2 linked regions of the Mytilus edulis genome follow. Each later gene encodes a partner of the first gene's protein in a complex. Links are inferred from orthologs where the notes say so. Each region holds a gene or a part of one and is shown on either strand. Other genes may lie near its edges.

What was found. The genes of interacting proteins can lie anywhere in the genome.
Region 2: transformation/transcription domain-associated protein-like (region 1) and mortality factor 4-like protein 1 share a complex: the UniProt entries of both Drosophila melanogaster proteins name them as parts of the tip60 chromatin-remodeling complex. The link is inferred for Mytilus edulis from reciprocal best matches to the Drosophila melanogaster genes Nipped-A and MRG15.

What each region holds. Positions count from the first base shown.
Region 1 is NC_092344.1:84,540,823-84,549,710, reverse strand, and holds the start of transformation/transcription domain-associated protein-like, read right to left. Parts: upstream 3,174-8,888; 5' UTR 3,117-3,173; intron 1,215-3,116; 5' UTR 1,197-1,214; coding exon 1,103-1,196; intron 1-1,102. Other genes in the region: zinc finger MYM-type protein 1-like, read left to right, coding at 5,285-6,694. UniProt on the Drosophila melanogaster protein: Part of the Tip60 chromatin-remodeling complex which is involved in DNA repair. Upon induction of DNA double-strand breaks, this complex acetylates phosphorylated H2AV in nucleosomes and exchanges it with unmodified H2AV.
Region 2 is NC_092347.1:28,692,782-28,701,315, reverse strand, and holds the start of mortality factor 4-like protein 1, read right to left. Parts: upstream 3,639-8,534; 5' UTR 3,552-3,638; coding exon 3,524-3,551; intron 1,638-3,523; coding exon 1,591-1,637; intron 1-1,590. UniProt on the Drosophila melanogaster protein: Part of the Tip60 chromatin-remodeling complex which is involved in DNA repair. Upon induction of DNA double-strand breaks, this complex acetylates phosphorylated H2AV in nucleosomes and exchanges it with unmodified H2AV.

The DNA.
Region 1 (8,888 bases):
TTTCGCTACATTGAAGACCTAATGGTGACCTTCTGCTGTTGTTTTTTTCTATGGTCGGGATGTTTTCTCTTTAACACATTCCCCATTTCCATTCTCAATTTTAATTCTTTAATAAACATAAAATTGAGGGAGTTTTGAATGAAATACAGGGTACTTTGAGGCCAATTAAGGCCCAAAATCAATATGCATTCTCCTTTATAAATAAACTTTATTAAAGTAATATGTAATAAAGTATTATTCTACAGATCAAAACTTGATCACAGGAACATCATTATAATGTAAAGTAATATGTAATAAAATATCATTGGACAGATCCATTTAGTAACAGAGGTAGTCAGATCTTATCAGACTAATCTACATGTGACCTCTACTCCGGAGAGGAGATCATCAGTCAATAGTGTAATCATTCTACCTCTTACAAAACCATACTATTAAACAAAGAATTTTGATTACATTTTTTTTTTTAATATTTCATTCATGGAATATAATAGTTCCTACATATTACACAGTAGCAAGTTATAGGGTCTATGTATTTATTTTATGTAACATCAAGTTTAAAAAAGAGTTTTGAATGAAAAACAGTTACAGGCCAACAATGCAACAAATTCTACATGTATTATATTTTCTCCTTTTAAAATATACTAGACGACAGGGACATTATTATTATTTCTAAAGTTACCGGTACATGTAATGAAGTATTATCATGATTATTGGACAGATTTATGTATGTACAAAATTTATGTAAAAGAGGTAGTCAGATCTTATCAGACTAATCTACATATGACCTCTACTCCGGAGAGGAGATCATCAGTCAATATTGTAATCATTCTACCTCTTAACAACACCTCATTATTAACCTTAGAAACTTGTCTAGGTTTTTAATTCATTTCGTATAATGGTTCATATATTTATGTTACATGTCCAAAAGACTTTATAAATCAGTTCCAAATAAATATAAGCCTAAAAATTATGCAAATAAATCATATATTGTGATTAAAAAAAAGCTATACAGTATTGCATGTATTGCAGATAAAAGATCTTGTATAATTAGTTAGATGCAAATAATTCGAAAAGAATTTGAATGTGTTTAAATAAACCATACTTCCTGGTGTAGGGTCAGCAATCAATGCCACATAGGATTTAAATGTGGTCAGCTGGGCGGTCAAATCATGTGGACTTAGTGGGGATTGCAGCATCTTGATAAGCCTTTATCTGAAAATGTAAAAGCACAAAAATCACTAATGTTTTCCTGTAAAATTAAACATTTCTGCATTGTCCAACAATCAAAGAAAGACTTCAGTTACAAACAGAAAAGTCTCCGTTGAAGATTTGAATTGCAGTGTTATCTGAAATAGACAGCTGCATAGTTTTGAAATATACATCTAGGTAGATTACTTATGTATCAACCAGTATCAGACACTAAATCATACTTGTACCCTTAATGGGCTTATAACCTAACCATTGCTGAATAATACATTTAAATTGAGGTAAATTTACAAAAAGATAATTATTCTTTAAAGGAATTCATTACTTATTGTTTTTAATCATCTCCTTTTAAAGACCATTTTGATATTTTTTTACATTTTCCAACATAGTAGGCCTTTAACTTTTAACTTATCGTTTTAACTTGTCTTCTCTAGCAAGTTGCCAGAAATCAACTTTTCTGATAACTGTATTCACTTGCCTGAATCAAAGTGCAACATCTTAAATAATGCTGTTCCTAAATGTAACTAATGACACAAGTATGTACAAACTTTAGACTCCTACCATATCTGATAAAGGTTAATCCAGGAAAGTTAGTGCTTTGAATGTAAGAAATATCATGTACAATGTCTCTGTGGCATGTGAATTACTAATATCTTTAGGGTTCTCTTTTAGGCACACACATGCATCGGGAATTTATCACAGACATCCTTGCACGCTCTATGTAAGTCTTACTAGTTTTTTGGACTCCAACACATTCCTAACTAATAACACAAGTATCTACAAACTTTAGACTCCTACCATATCTGATAAAGGTTAATCCAGGAAAGTTAGTGCTTTGAATGTAAGAAATATCATGTACAATGTCTCTGTGGCATCTGAATTACTAATATCTTTAGGGTTCTCTTTTAGACACATACATGCATCGGGAAATTATCACAGACATCCTTGCACACTCTATGTATGTCTTACTAATTTTTTTAACTCCAACACATACAAATAAGCGAAAACTAAATGAAGATGGGGGGAAAAAACAACAAAAATACACATTATATGTTCTCATGAAATTGAGAAAATTTAGACGGACACCTATTGCATGTATACATCAAGGAGTTGATGAATGAAAAACAAATATCATATACAGTGAGAATCCCTAAACTCACTACTCGTTGCAATAACAGCACAAGTAATTTCTCAGGTCTAGACCAGACCCTTTGCTTCTTGTTTTCACGATACAGAATACAGAATTTTCACGCATTATCATTTGACTTTCTTGTGCCACATTTTTTAAAAAATCAGCCAATCTCTGTTACACTTAGACCAGAATTATGATTACTGACATGATTTAACAAACTTTACTAAAATTGTATGTTTATAAATTTAGAAATTATTAAGAAACTAAGGTTTCAACTCCCTCAGGCAAAGTTGGCTTTAGATGAATTTGGCTATTTATTTTTGGGTGTTTTTGACATATATATATATGGCTCTTCAAAGGTCTCTGTACTTATACATCTTCAGTTTTCACATGTTTGGCTCTGAGCGTTCTTGATGAATGTAAATCCAGAAAAGTGCTTCGTTGAAACAAATTTTGAACCTGTTTTCAATTTTTTTTTATGAGTGAACCACTTTTAGCAACTGATAAGTTTTCTGTTGTTAGTATAACTGCATGATTTAAATGAAATATACGTTTAAAAGTCACACAAAATTTACGTTGTGTACATATATGTCGACTTTAATGCAATTTACTAACTTACTTCAGCACTCACAAAAACAAGGGGAGATAATTAAATCAAACGATGAAATGATCGAAGTAATGAGGCTACAGAGCGACAGCAGCACATGGTGTGGACTTTTCTGTGTATTTATAATGATAAGTTATGTATAAGCTAGGTTCTTGTGTTTATGCATTATCTAAATAGTATGCTTTACATGATATATTAAGCAATTCGGTCTAACGCTTCTCATTCCGGAAATCATAGTAGTTGTCTAAACTCGGAAGCAATGACGGACTAATTATGCATTTCTGTATTTGACACTTTTTTTTTTATCAATTTAGATTTATCGGTTTATGCTCAAATATGAAGTTCAATGGTAGTTTAGCTATTAAAATCTAAGTGTTAGAAATGAAATTGGCAAGCAATCTAGATGTAAAATTGCTAAGTATTAAAGATGAGGCTATTGAACCATGGGTAATTTTCTGTTAAGTAATTTTCCCGCTTTTATTTAAATAGATTCGGGGACAATTTTTTAGTTTTGTGTGAATAGTAGGGAGAGGATTATGAAAATTAATACTCTGACCTTGTTAGAGCTTGAGTTTATAAATCGCATGAGCTTGGTCCTATATTGGCACTTTTCAGTTTTCAGAAATTTACATGAATAGTCATAGACTACAGCCTTTTTTTTTGGCACAGTGTCAGAGCCGTAACTACCATTGAGGCAAGTGAGGCAATTGCCTCACTAAAATTTCGACCAATTTTTTTTTTTTTTTTTTTTTTTTGTAAAATTATAATTCGTTTATGGTAAATAAATATGAACATACACTAATGTGTTTTTTTGTTTTTTCTCAACCTTAATTTCTATAGTATAACAGTTAACTTCACCATCCCTTTTAAATCATTCTTCCCGGATATAACTCAGCATCTCAACGGGTGATGTTTCTCGATTACATTTTTACTTAGTTACGGTAATAATCATGGATCTCTGGTTGAAAACAGGTTCTTGCAGAAAAAGGAAAAGCGATAATGAAAGTGAGGAAGGAATATAAATTGTGAATTCATTGATGCTGTTCGTGATCACAACAGGGGTTGATCATTCAGAGTTTAAGTATTGAATTATAGATTCATTGGAACCCCAAAACTATAAATAGACCAACAAGTTACTGTCTATAGCCGGGAGTAGTTCTGTCTGCCTATTTATATCTCCATTTCACAAACTTTATTCGTTCTATACAGATAAACCAAAAATAGATATAGATATTATGAAACCTGCATGTGTTAGTTTTTAATTGTTCATGTTTCTTTTACCTTAGGAATTAAAATAACATTCCGTATTCCAATTTGCACTGTCCTGACTCCAAGAACGGCAGGGCCTTTAAAACGGGATATCATTATAATTTGGTCTTTTTCAATTCGGGACTACCGATTTTCATGACGTGTCTATATATTCAGGACAATCCTATTCGGGATCGGACCCACACCCACACCCCTTATTTATCGATTCTTGATCTAAAATTAATATTTTACCGCTGACTATTTACCGAAATAACGAAATTATTTGAAGTCACGAACCTACATGTTTACAAACGGTGAAAACTCCAGTAAAATTCTCCTGTACCCATATTATCTCACAAGTAAACTTACTCTGGATAAAATTATATACATGTCTTTCACGGACGCCATCACGAGTTGGTTGACTGTGGAATATCCGTTAATACACAGATGATATCAGACATGCTCCCATGTTGTAACTACAATCCCATAACGGCGTTCCCTTTTTTTTTACGAATTAGACTATTTACGAAGGGTGTCTTATATGGAAGAGGGTCTACTTATCCTTCCGGAGCACCTGAGATTACTCCAAGTTTTAGATTGGGTTCATGTTGCTTAGTCTTTAGCTTTCTATGTTATGTCCTTTACTATTATATAGATATAGGAAGATGTGGTATGAATGCCAATGAGACAACTCTCCATCCAAGTAACAATTTATAAAAGTAAAACATTATAGGTAAGTGTAAGGCCTTCAACTTGGAGATTTGTCTCACATCGAACAACAAGCTATAAAGGGCCCAAAAAATAATTTGAATTAATGTTGTAAAATCATTCAAACCGGAAAAACAACGGTCTAATCAATATAAAATTATGTTTGTCTTTTTCTTATTTGGCCATGGCGTTATCAGTTAATTTTCGATCTATGAATTTGAATGTCTTGTTTGTTTGCTTACGGGAAAGCCTAATTCCCCTTTTCAGACACAACTGTTACTACCGATGCTGCTATTGCGCCGATGTAGAAGGAATCGGAAGTTAACGTAGATCATTGTGTTGATGATAGCGTGCTACCATTAGAACCACAGACTGATGAAGTAATGGAAAAGGTGACGGAGATTGGCCTATCATTTGATCCTTTCGTTATTAAGAAACAAAGTTTTTCTGAAAATGAAAAATTGAAGATTCTTTCTACTCCGAGCAGTAGTGATGTAAAAACATTTCCAACGACAAAGGGACGAAAATATTCCAAGGACTGGGAAAAAACTTATCCATGGCTGCGCTACTCAGTTGAAGAAGATGCCGCTTATTGTGCATACTGCTTAGTGTTTGGTGACGGTCACGGTGACGGATTGTTTGGAATGATTGGTTTTCGTGACTGGAAAAACGCATCCGGTGACAAGAGAGGTTCACTCAGAATACATGAGAATAGCAAATTACACTCTGCTGCGAAAGAAAAGGCCGATAATCTGATTATGGTTTCGAATGAAAGTAAACCCGATATTTGTAGTAGTATAAGCAAAGCGTACGAGAACAAGATAGTTCGTAATCGTCAGATACTGCTTGCAATTATAGATGTTATTGTTAGTTTGGGACAACGGAATATTGCGCTCCGGGGAAACTGGGATAAGGAACTGAAAAAGGAAGACGGTAATTTTCAGTATTTTGTGGAATGGGTAGCTAAATTTGATGAAATTTTACGTCACCATTTGCAGTCACAAGGTCCACATTACCTATCGCCGAAGGTTCAGAATGAACTGATTTATTGCTGTGAGACCGAGATACGCGAGAAGATAGTTAATGGCTGTAAGCAAGCCGAATTTTATTCGATATGTGCTGATGAGACTACCGATGTCAGCGTTAAGGAGCAGCTTTCATTGTGCATTCGGTATGTAGACAGGATAAAGTCAGAGGTCAGAGAGGAATTTATGGGATTCGTAGAACTGACAAAAACAGACGCTGAAAATATTGCTGGGAACATCTTGACATACTTAGATAAGTGGGGAATAGAGATTGAAAAGTTAAGAGGACAGGGCTACGACGGTGCTAGTGTCATGAGTGGACACGTAAACGGTGTCCAAACTCGCATTCGGAGAACTAGTCCCAGAGCTTACTATGTCCATTGTCGTTCCCATAACCTTAATTTTGTTGTGACCCAAAGTTGCAAGGTTGTTCACCCAATTCGCAATATAATGGATAATGTGGTGCAACTAACCTGGTTCATTTGTGCTTCAGCCAACCGAAAGAATATACTTAAAGAAGAAATGTTCACCGAGTCTGACCTTATGAATAAGATAATGGAAATAAACGAGGAAGACGATAGCAGCGGTAAATTATTGCAGGAAGCTATGCATAAAAAATCAATACAACCATTAAGTGAAACCCGTTGGACGGCTCGGGTAGATGCATTGTCCGCAATAATCACAAATTACGAACAACTTCACAATGCAAGATTGAGGAAAAAAGCAGTGGCGATTCAAAATCTAAGGCAGGTGGTCATCGAAGGTTGATGGAAGACCCAGAATTCATTATGGCTCTAGTTGTTGGACAGTATGTCTTAGCATTTTTGAAGCCTTTGACACTTTCCTTGCAAAAAGTTGACTGTGATATGGTAGTGGCCTTTGATGAGGCACGGAACTTGCTAAGAACTCTGAAATCGATCAGATCAGAGGAAGCATTTTCTAAACTTTTCGAGAGAGCCCGTGTTTTAGCAGATGTAGTAGAAATAATTTTGCAGCCGCGGCGAAGAGTTGGAAGGCAAATTCACAGAGACAACCCAAATGTTGACTCAGCAGAACAGCTTTGGCGAGTTTCAATTTTCTATGCCTTTTTAGATCCCGTGTGTACTGAGCTTGAAAGAAGATTCCCACAAGAACAACGACAACTGATGATGGGTCAATACCTCTTACCTGGAAAATTTGACTACCTGACAGATGAATGCATAGATGAGATAAAAGAAGCATACAACCCTGATTTGCCGGACATTGAAAACTGGCAGCAGGAGATCCTTAGATGGAAAACAAAGTTCGCCGACAAGGAATCTGTTCCAAATTCACTCCAGCAAGCTCTTGTATATACACACCAGGATTTTTATCCAAACATAAGACGTGTTCTTGTGCTTCTGTTAACGCTACCAGTGACGAGCGTCTGCTGTGAACGTTCCTTTTCTGCCCTGAGACGACTGAAAACTTGGGGAAAGGGCATGCATGAGTGGCGAGAGATTGTGCGGTCTTGCCATGCTTCATGTGCATCGGGATAAGGATGTTAGCAGACAAAACATTTTGAGACGTTTCGACGAAACTGGCCATAGAAAAATTGGCAAACTCCAATTTTAACAATATCTACTGATATACTTTGCTCTATGTTCTGACTACAAACTTAAATAGATATTTAGATTTTTATCTGATTTATTAACTAAATTAAAGTGTTAAAAAAATTGGTGTTACTATCTACATGTCTTCAAATGATAAATGAATGTATGAAAAGTGTCTAAATTTGAGACATTGTAAAACTCTCTTAAAATGCCTAGAATGCAGGATTTTGCACCATTCATTCCATACCCTGTCAAAATATTTTCGCCTCGCTTCGCTCGGCTCAATGTTTTGCCTCACTAATATATTGGGCCTAGTTACGGCCTTGAGTGTCTTATTAGGGACTATACTAAGGCAGCAACCATTTGATTTTCTTGGGGGGGGGGGGGGGGGGGGGGGGGGCTATGGATTTTTTTGGAAAAAAAAGTTTGTTTCCAGTTTTTTGAATAATTTGTTTTTGATTCTGAGAAAAAAAAATGTTTGTTTCACCCTCAGCTGCCACTACATGTAATGCTAAAATTGAAAGAAAAAAAATGTTTTCGACTTGTCGCAAAAAAAGTATATTGTTTTTCGCCACAGGCGAAAAAATCCATAGCCCCCCCCCCCCCCCCCCGAAAATCAAATGGTTGCTGCCTAACATACTTAGTATAATAGTCCCTTTTTTTTAATCAAACTCCTGTCCTGCCTTTTTTCAAAATTTCAAAATATGTATCTCAAACATAATATGCAACAAAACAAGCTACTTCTTTCAGAAGTTAGCATACTATGTTCCATTCTCAATTTTATGTAATGGGATTAAAACTCTTATAATATATAGTACACAATTCACATAATTTCCTCAGAGAAGGTATTGAAAAAAATCTGGATCGTTTATATACATATCATATACGTTTGTAAGGTTTTTAGACTTTTTCGTACTTTTTGAAGTTTTGATCATACAGATTAAAATTAAATAGTCCAAAAAAATTCTAAACAACAACTCAACCATAAAATGAGTCTTCATCATGGGTTTTTCCTGATAAAAAACACAAATTTTGCAAAATTTATTTTCTTTTATCATACCTTTTTCAACAAATAATATTTACAAATAGGTTTCCAAAGCACTATTGGTAATCCAACTGCAGTCTAGTACACAGTTTAGTTCTGTTGGTAAAACTCCACCCTCAACGGGACTGAGCGAAATCCGTATGTTCATTGGGTTGATCTACTAGTCTCTTTTCCATTTTTCTTGTGTTACTTTGTATGGAAAGAGAAAATGGGGTGGTTTAGATTTAAAAACATCAGACTTAAGGTAGATAGGGTGTCTTCCTCCATCTTGGATTTGGAAATACCAGAAAACAAGGTCTAGATCTTTAATAGAATGTGCAAATTTTTAGAGAAGTAGATAATTCAT
Region 2 (8,534 bases), on another chromosome or scaffold:
CCAAAACTATTTCAGGGTGTCAACGTATATTTGTTCCCAATAATATTTGTTCCTGAGGGAAACAATATCATAATAATATTTGTTCTGCGGAAATTGTGTCATGGAATACTTTTTCCATCTGTATTATATTTGTTCCACTGATATTAGGAACTTATCTTATATGTTGATGAGTATAAGAAATGTTCCTATTATGCTTAAGTTTAGTTTATTATGCCTGATTGATTGTTATATAATTCAAAACAGATTTTAAATGTTGATTGTATTCTAAATCAAAACCGGTTTCAATACTAATTATATGATTATTATGTAAAATGAAAAGTGTTAATGAGTTGGATATATTCACCTGTACACAATACCTGAATGTATACTGAAACAGAGGCTGATGAGTATGAGAAAATATTTATGTTCTTAAATGATGGAACATATGTTGAAGGTAACTAAATATGTTAACAAGTTCAGCTGTGAAATATAAATGTTAATTCTAATGAGAAAAATATCATTCAAAGGTAAAATATGCATACTAGTAATTGTGGATAATTCAGAAATATATCTTCAAGATTGGGACAATTCTTTTCCATATTCACGATACCTGTTCTTATAATAATTGTAAATACCAATTTTCCAATCCGGCATTAGTTATGGATAAAATATAGTAATATTTTTTGGTCGGAAAAGATATTATATAATATTTTTTCCGTACGGAATATATATTACATAATATTTTTTCTAATCGGAATATATATTACATAATATTTTTTCCAATCGGAATAAATATAACATAAGATTTTATCATTTTTTTCATTTTAATGAGTGATATGTCAAAATGATAAAAGTCAAAATGTTATACCAGTCATAAGATAAAAATTCCACCATAATACTTATTCCAAAGATAATTTATTATGTAATAAAACTTCCTATTGGAATATATTTTATGTGATAAAAATTCCGAGGCATCGGTCATTTTATTATGTTGATTGAATAAATATCACATAACAATAATTCCAATTGGAACTTTTGTTACATAATAAATTATCTTTGGAATAAATGTTATGACAGAACTTATATTCTGTGACATGGGGAGAGTGTAGAACCAATACTAAAATAATAAGAACACATTACTCTGAATGTGCTGCCAATCACAGAAATCTTACAGCAAATGTATACACATTAGTTTGTGCATCATAACTAAATAGCATAAGAAGAGAAATATAGATTCCACTGTTGTAACAAGTATGTTACGATATTTCTCCCCTCAAAACTGATAAAAACTGATAAACTAACAAATGTAAAGATTTCAATAAAATATGTAAACCTTAAAAAAAAAAAAAAACTGATAAATTCTAATATTAACAGGAGGCTTAAACTTGTTCCTTTTTCAAATATTTGCAGAAAACTGTGTTCTTTATATGTGACATCATTAAGCATGGTTGCCTTTTTTCGTGTTGTCACAATAGAAAATTCAGAAGAAACCAAGAAAATTTGACTTCACAATTAAATTTCGACCAATCATTTGCAGAGAAGAAATACTTTTCTCACAACGAACATGAAATGTGAATATAGCACAAAAATTAGAGAAATACAGATACATACCTTTGCTTCATATAATAAAGGTCCATGGAAGCAAAGAACTTTCTCTCCTGTAAAAAATATTATATTTGTTACTTTCATGTTTACTAATATTTCACCAAATCATCAACATGCATGTTCAATATTAAATTAATGATCCATTAAGTGGCTACTATGTATAAAAATAACTACAAAAGATTCTGACTCTTTAAGAAACAATTTGAAAAAATGGAAAACAAGACAGTGTCCATAGTCATGATAGAACTACATGTACAAAGATGCCCAACTCACACTCTCTTTTTCTATGTTCAGTGGACCCTGAAATTGGGATCAAAACTCTAATTTGGCATTAAAATAAGAAAGATCATATTTTAGTGAGCTTGTGTACTAAGTTGTTTTTTTTTTTTTGTGTACTAAGTTTCAAGTTGAATGGACTTTTGGACTTTAAGGTTCATCATGACAAACAGACGAACATGGCTGTATTTACATGCCAAAAACTACTCTTAGTACAGACTTACCTGTGAAGTTGGAAAAGTTTTAATGCCTAGCATCCACTAGATAAATGCATTTTATGTTGCAGAAAGATAAAATCTCTTTTGGATTTTGATGGGCATTTTTTTCCTTCATGCATAAGGTGTGAAAATTAACTAAGTTCAAAGTGGTACAACTTTGAGATGCTCCCTCAGGTAAAAAACCGGTTTGTATTGTTTTGATTGTCCTTAATTGACATGGACAAGAGGTATCTTCACAACTACAGGTGAGTTAAAGAGTTTATCTGAGTCAGTGAGTGGACAGTATCAAAGTAATTCAGATGTTTGTTTATTTTTACACCTTCTGCAGAAAGGAAAAAAAATGCCCATCAAAAACCAAGAAAGATGTTATCTTTCTTAAACATAAAATGAATTTAACTTTTATATATCTAGTGGATGCTAGGCCTTAAAACTTTCCAAACAGCACAGGTAAGTCTGTACACAGAGTAGTTTTTGAGGTGAAAATACAGCCACATTTGTCCACTTGTTATGATGAACCTTAACTTCATCAAAAACTACCTTGACCAGAAACTTTAACTTAAGCGGGACAGACGGACAATGAACGAAAGCACAGACCAAAAAACATGATGCCCCTCTACTTTTGTAGATGAGGCATAAAAACAAGTATGACAGACATAAAACAAAGACAACAGCTGAACTAAAGGCTCCTGACTTCGGTCAGACACACAAAGAATGTGGATGGGTCAAAACCGGTAGAATAAAATCTTATGGTTTCGATTACAAATAACTCTGTTCCTGTTCTATTGACAGACCCAGCCAAGTGCAAGTCCTATATGGTTTCAAGCAAAGGTGCATCTCTGATTTCCAAATGGAATAATGAAAACAGTACAATACACCTTTAATTGTTGCACCAATTAACATGATTAACCCAAGACCTGTGCCTGTTGAACTATTGATGTCATACAACAATCATTTTTTCTTTGTGGTGTCAGATACTTTCTATTATAATGCCAAAATTATAAGGGAACCTTTGAAAAGTCCAGTAATAGCAGACAAATACTAAAATAGTGAAATGCACAATTTACAAATGTCGAAATGGATTTTAAAATATATGTTCCTTCCACATCTTTCACTTGTAAAATCTTCCTGGAATAAGTCATTTATAGCTAAACAGATAAATATTCTAGAGGACATGTAAAAGGGGGAAAAGGGGGGTAATTTTTCTGGATTGTTTGCACAGGCACTTGTTTCTGGCAATGTTATTTTTCGTACGGGTGTGGAAAGTAAACCGCACATAGATAGAAACAAGTGCCTGTGACTTTTTGGTGTAAGCGAGATAAATTTGTTGTGTTTGTATAATTTTTGGAATTGTAACAAAACAAAAATCTATCGCAGCGAAAAGACAGGATGCATGTCTATTTATAAATGTCAGATTCATATAATTACTTAATTATTGCATCAACTACCTTCTTGGAACTTATATTTAGGCGGCATTTCGTTTATCCAAGCTTAGATAGTTTAGGGAAAATGTTTGCACATGTGTTTACGTCATCAATTTGTGTGTGAAATAATTTGAGACTGTCTAAAACACGGAAGTAAAAAAAGACGGAAATAAAAATTGATACAGTATTCTAAGTTATTTCTCAAAAATAGCTCAAAATAGATTTAAAATTGAAACGGATTTAAAAAGTTGAACAGAATGGTCTACAGTTTAAAACATTTATTTTTTTTAATTTTTAATTGCATTTTGACCAAAAATTGTTTTGGTCAAAATGCAATTAAAAATTAAAAAAAATATATCCGGCAACTTTGAAGATCTTTGAACACAATTTCACGAGAAAGTATACAAGAGAGTCTTGAGACCTTTGATATCTGTATTCTTTAAGTCATTATGTACATTTTCTCTATTCTTGCTTTATTTTGACCATAGTCTATTTTCTTTATATTTTAGCGCCAAATTATTCTCTATTCTTCATTTGATCTTCCCTTTTTTTTTATTCAATTTTGTATTTTTCTCCTTTTAAAATATTCTGCAAATTTTCCCAGTGTTCTCATTGGTTAAACATGGATACAATGATATGTTTCAACATATTTTAGATGTCGTCTAATTAACCACAGAGATGATCTCCGAAGACTGCCGACGGCCGTTATAAAACCTGATAGGAATATAAATAGATAGCGACCATGTGCAATTGGATTTTCTAGCGGTCTGTTATATTTCATACGGAGATTAAAAAGTATGCCATTCACCGCTTTACTTGAATAAGAGGAGGTTTTTTTTGTGGTTTGAATTAGTCAGTATAATGGTTCATCCTTATTTAACACTCAATGTTAACAAAATGGTTAACAATATTCTATTCCTTTGCAATAGCTCAGAATACAAGTGTTGCCAATCTTTAGCAGAGATGTTTGATTAAAGATCACATACCCGGTAATTACGGATTCAATGATGTCGAATTAATCACTTAAATTGTACGTGAATAATCAATCAGCGATATGATCCAGTCCTACTTTTCTTTGCCTGACCAAATTGAACCAAATTGGCTGCAATTCTAAAAGCGAATTATCACTCGCTATTTCACTTTCATTACAGTTAAAATAATAGAGCATGCAAACCAAGAATATAAATGCCTTGCTTGCCAACTTTTTTTTTTTTTGCTCAGACATCTATAATACTAAAATTACGAGGTCCAATTTGTCAGCCGTCATCACGTAAAAACGACGAATCAAAGAATTCAACTTTATATACAACTAATAAAGTACAAATGTGTAGTTTAAAAATTACGCCACTCCAGGCCCTTTTGTTTTCCAAGTAATTAATATTGCCAATAATTAGGAAGTTCCGGGTCGATTCCGATACCGATACCAATAGTATAATCAAATGTTACCTATTACCTTATCTGTACGTTACGCATCTGACAGGCGCACCACCAAACGGTGTATTCAGGATTAATATGCTTTATACACGGGTCATAATCACAGGGTTGACACTACTAAATTGTCAAATTGTTACCTATTGTAGTATTTTAATCCGTAAGACTTTCTAAGATAACAATACGAATACTAAAAATCTGGACTAAAAATAAGTTTCAATTTGTTAGCGGGCATGACGTAAAACAGCGAATCAAAGAGTTCAACTTTATTTATAACTAATATAGGACAATGCTGAAGATTAAAAAATACTCCATACCAGGACCTTTTGTTTTCCAAATAATTAATATTACCCATAATTAATAAGTTCCAGTTCGACGGGTTCAAACAGAAAGATTTGAAAGCAGAGAAAATTGTGTATCTTATAATCGGCATGACTTTATCAGATGCCAGTACTAATACAAAGATAAGGCTTGCGCATAGTTATATACTTTAATTCAGTCACGGACCCGCGATATCACGGGTGTGTTCTAGTTGTAATTAAGATTAACACCTAAATTCAATGGGTAGCCAGGTGGAGTATATATAACAGTCTGTTTACTATACACAAAGGTTTTATTGGTCAATTAATATCAAAATTGTTTCCAATGTAATATCCATTGTCCAACCAACTATTTTTTTATATAGTAAACAAACTGTTTCTCCGCCTCTCCTTTGAATTCAGGTGTCAATCTTAATTACAATGCCTGAGCAAACAACCAAACAAAGTTGGCAAGCAAGGCATTTACAAACTCTTGGTTCGCATGCTTTTTATTTTAACTGTAATCACTGAACAAAAAAAAAATCATTTTTTATTTTTTCTTTATCTCGTAGCTCAGTAATATGCCCTTAAATAAAGGTTGTTAAAATCTACAACTACAATTACGAACATTAAATGTAGTATATTCATACGTGTTTATCAAGATGAAAACTCTACATATTGGGGGTTTTGTGTTGTAATCTCCTGGGAAGAGGATAACTGACAATATACTGTCCTGGCTAGGTTGGCTCGAAGAAAATATGGCAAGTTTATATAGAAAAAAGCGGACCAAACATGCTGCTATATAAATCATGATCACTATAAAAGTAGCAACTCATATATTTAAAAAGTTTTCTATATAGCATTTTCAGAAAACGACATCTGTAAGGGACGACATCAAAAGTTCAATGTAGGATAAAAAACTTAATTCACATAGTTTTTTCGCTAACCCCCTTACCCCCCTTCTTAACTTAATTTGGGAAAAATTGATTTACCTATATGGATATATGTAAAATCGATTTTAGATTAACAAAACTTGCAGCAATGTTGACCCATTGTTCCACTACTAAATTGTCTATTCTTCTTACCAGCACACTTGGTACAATTAAAACCCTGATAATAAATTGTTCAAATAAGGCCTTCGAAAATAGTGGAATTAATTACTTTTGGAGTGTCAAGAACTCGTTGGAAGTACTTGATAAATTGCATGCTTATATTGGTGATTTTGAATCTGTTCAAAGTTTTGATTTTTCTACCCTGTATACACATTGCCTCACATTCTCATTAAGAAAAATTCACACACCTAATTAAATGGGCATTTAAAAAGTCAGAATGTGAATATATATGTTCAAACTCTTTTAGGTATTTTTTTAGTAGCAATAAACAAAAAAAACTATGTCAATTGGACATGCTTTGATACTATATATGCCCTTGAATTTTTACTAGATAACATTTTTGTTCGCTTTTGGGATTCCGTATACCGTCAGATTATCGGTATTCCAATGGGGACTAACTGTGCACCACTTATTGCGGACCTGTTTTTGTATTGCTATGAGTTACAATTCATGACAAAAATAAGCAAAGACCCATCGAAACAACATCTTATAAACAGATTTAATAATACTTTTAGATATTTAGGCTCTCAATAATGACGACTTCAGTATGTATATTAAAGAAATTTATCCTGTTGAACTTACTTTAAATAAAGCTAATATTAACAATGACCACTGCCCTTTCCTCTATCTTGATATTTATATCACTAACGGAAAGCTGAATACTAAAATTTATGATAAAAGAGATGATTTTTCATTTCCTATCGTTAATTATCCATTTTTAGATGGTGACGTTCCCTTGTCACCATCTTACGGTGTTTATATATCTCAACTTGTACGATTCGCTCGTGTATGTAACAATGTTTTAGATTTTAACGAGAGAAATGTATGTATTACTGAAAAATTATTACACCCGGGTTTTCGATATCACAAACTAGTCAAAACATTTACTATAGTAATTTTATCATTGGTATATGGACATCATTCGTAAATATAGCTCAACATGCAGACTTCTTATACGTTCAGGTATTTCACATCCAATTTTTTATGGAAATATTCTTTATAAAGCACAAAGGTGTCAGTATTCACCTCAAAAACTAACAAAACCTTTGAATAGACTTATTAAGAAGGGATATAGTTACGATACTGTTGTCAGGTCATTAAAGATTGCATATGTTGGCGTTAATATTGATTCACTTATATAGGGTCTTTGCATCGGAACTAAACACATTTATTAAAAAACCAGTTGTTGGCATGACACGGGTTATGTTCTTCTCATATATGTTATGATGGTATGATACTAAACCCCTAACGGGAAGGATTGTGCCTGATGTTCATATGATGAAATCATAATCTTTCAGCCTCAGTTTAATTGAAGTCTGGAGCTGGCATGTCAGTTAACTGCTAGTAGTCTGTTGTTATTTATGTATTATTGTCATTTTGTTTATTTTCTTTGGTTACATCTTCTGACATCAGACTCGGACTTCTCTTGAACTGAATTTTAATGTGCGTATTTGTTATGCGTTTACTTTTCTACATTGGCTAGAGGTATAAAGGGGGGGGTTGAGATCTCACAAACATGTTTAACCCATCCGCATTTTTGCGCCTGTCCCAAGTCAAGAGCCTCTGGCCTTTGTTTATAGTCTTGTATTATTTTAATTTTAGTTTCTTGTGTACAATTTGGAAATTAGTATGGCGTTCATTATCACTGAACTAGTATATATTTGTTTAGGGGCCAGCTGAAGGACGCCTCTAGGTGCGGGAATTTCTCGCTACATTGTAGTCCAAATAATTATGACGTCTTGAAAAGCTATTATAATTTTTTTTCTTTGACGCCTTTAAAATTACTTCGACTAAGGCGTCAAAGAAAAAAATTATAATAGCCTTTCAAGACGTCATAATTATTTGGACTAGCTACATTGAAGACCTGTTGGTGACCTTCTGCTGTTGTTTTTTTTCAATGGTCTGGTTGTTGTCTCTTTGGCACATTCCCCATTTCCATTCTCAATTTTATTATATATAAAGAATTACGTAGACAGGACTGACTGTAACAAATCTAACAGTAGTCCATCATGATGAGTCTAAGCGAATATGTGTCAACCTGGACATCTCTCTAGAACACTCAACACTTGAGCATACAGGTTAATATAAAAGAAATGCAGAGTAGAAACCATGCATAAAATAACAAGCAATGGGAAATGGGCATTAAAAGCATGCGGGAAAGCAACATCCCAAACAATTCCAGGCGGAAACAAG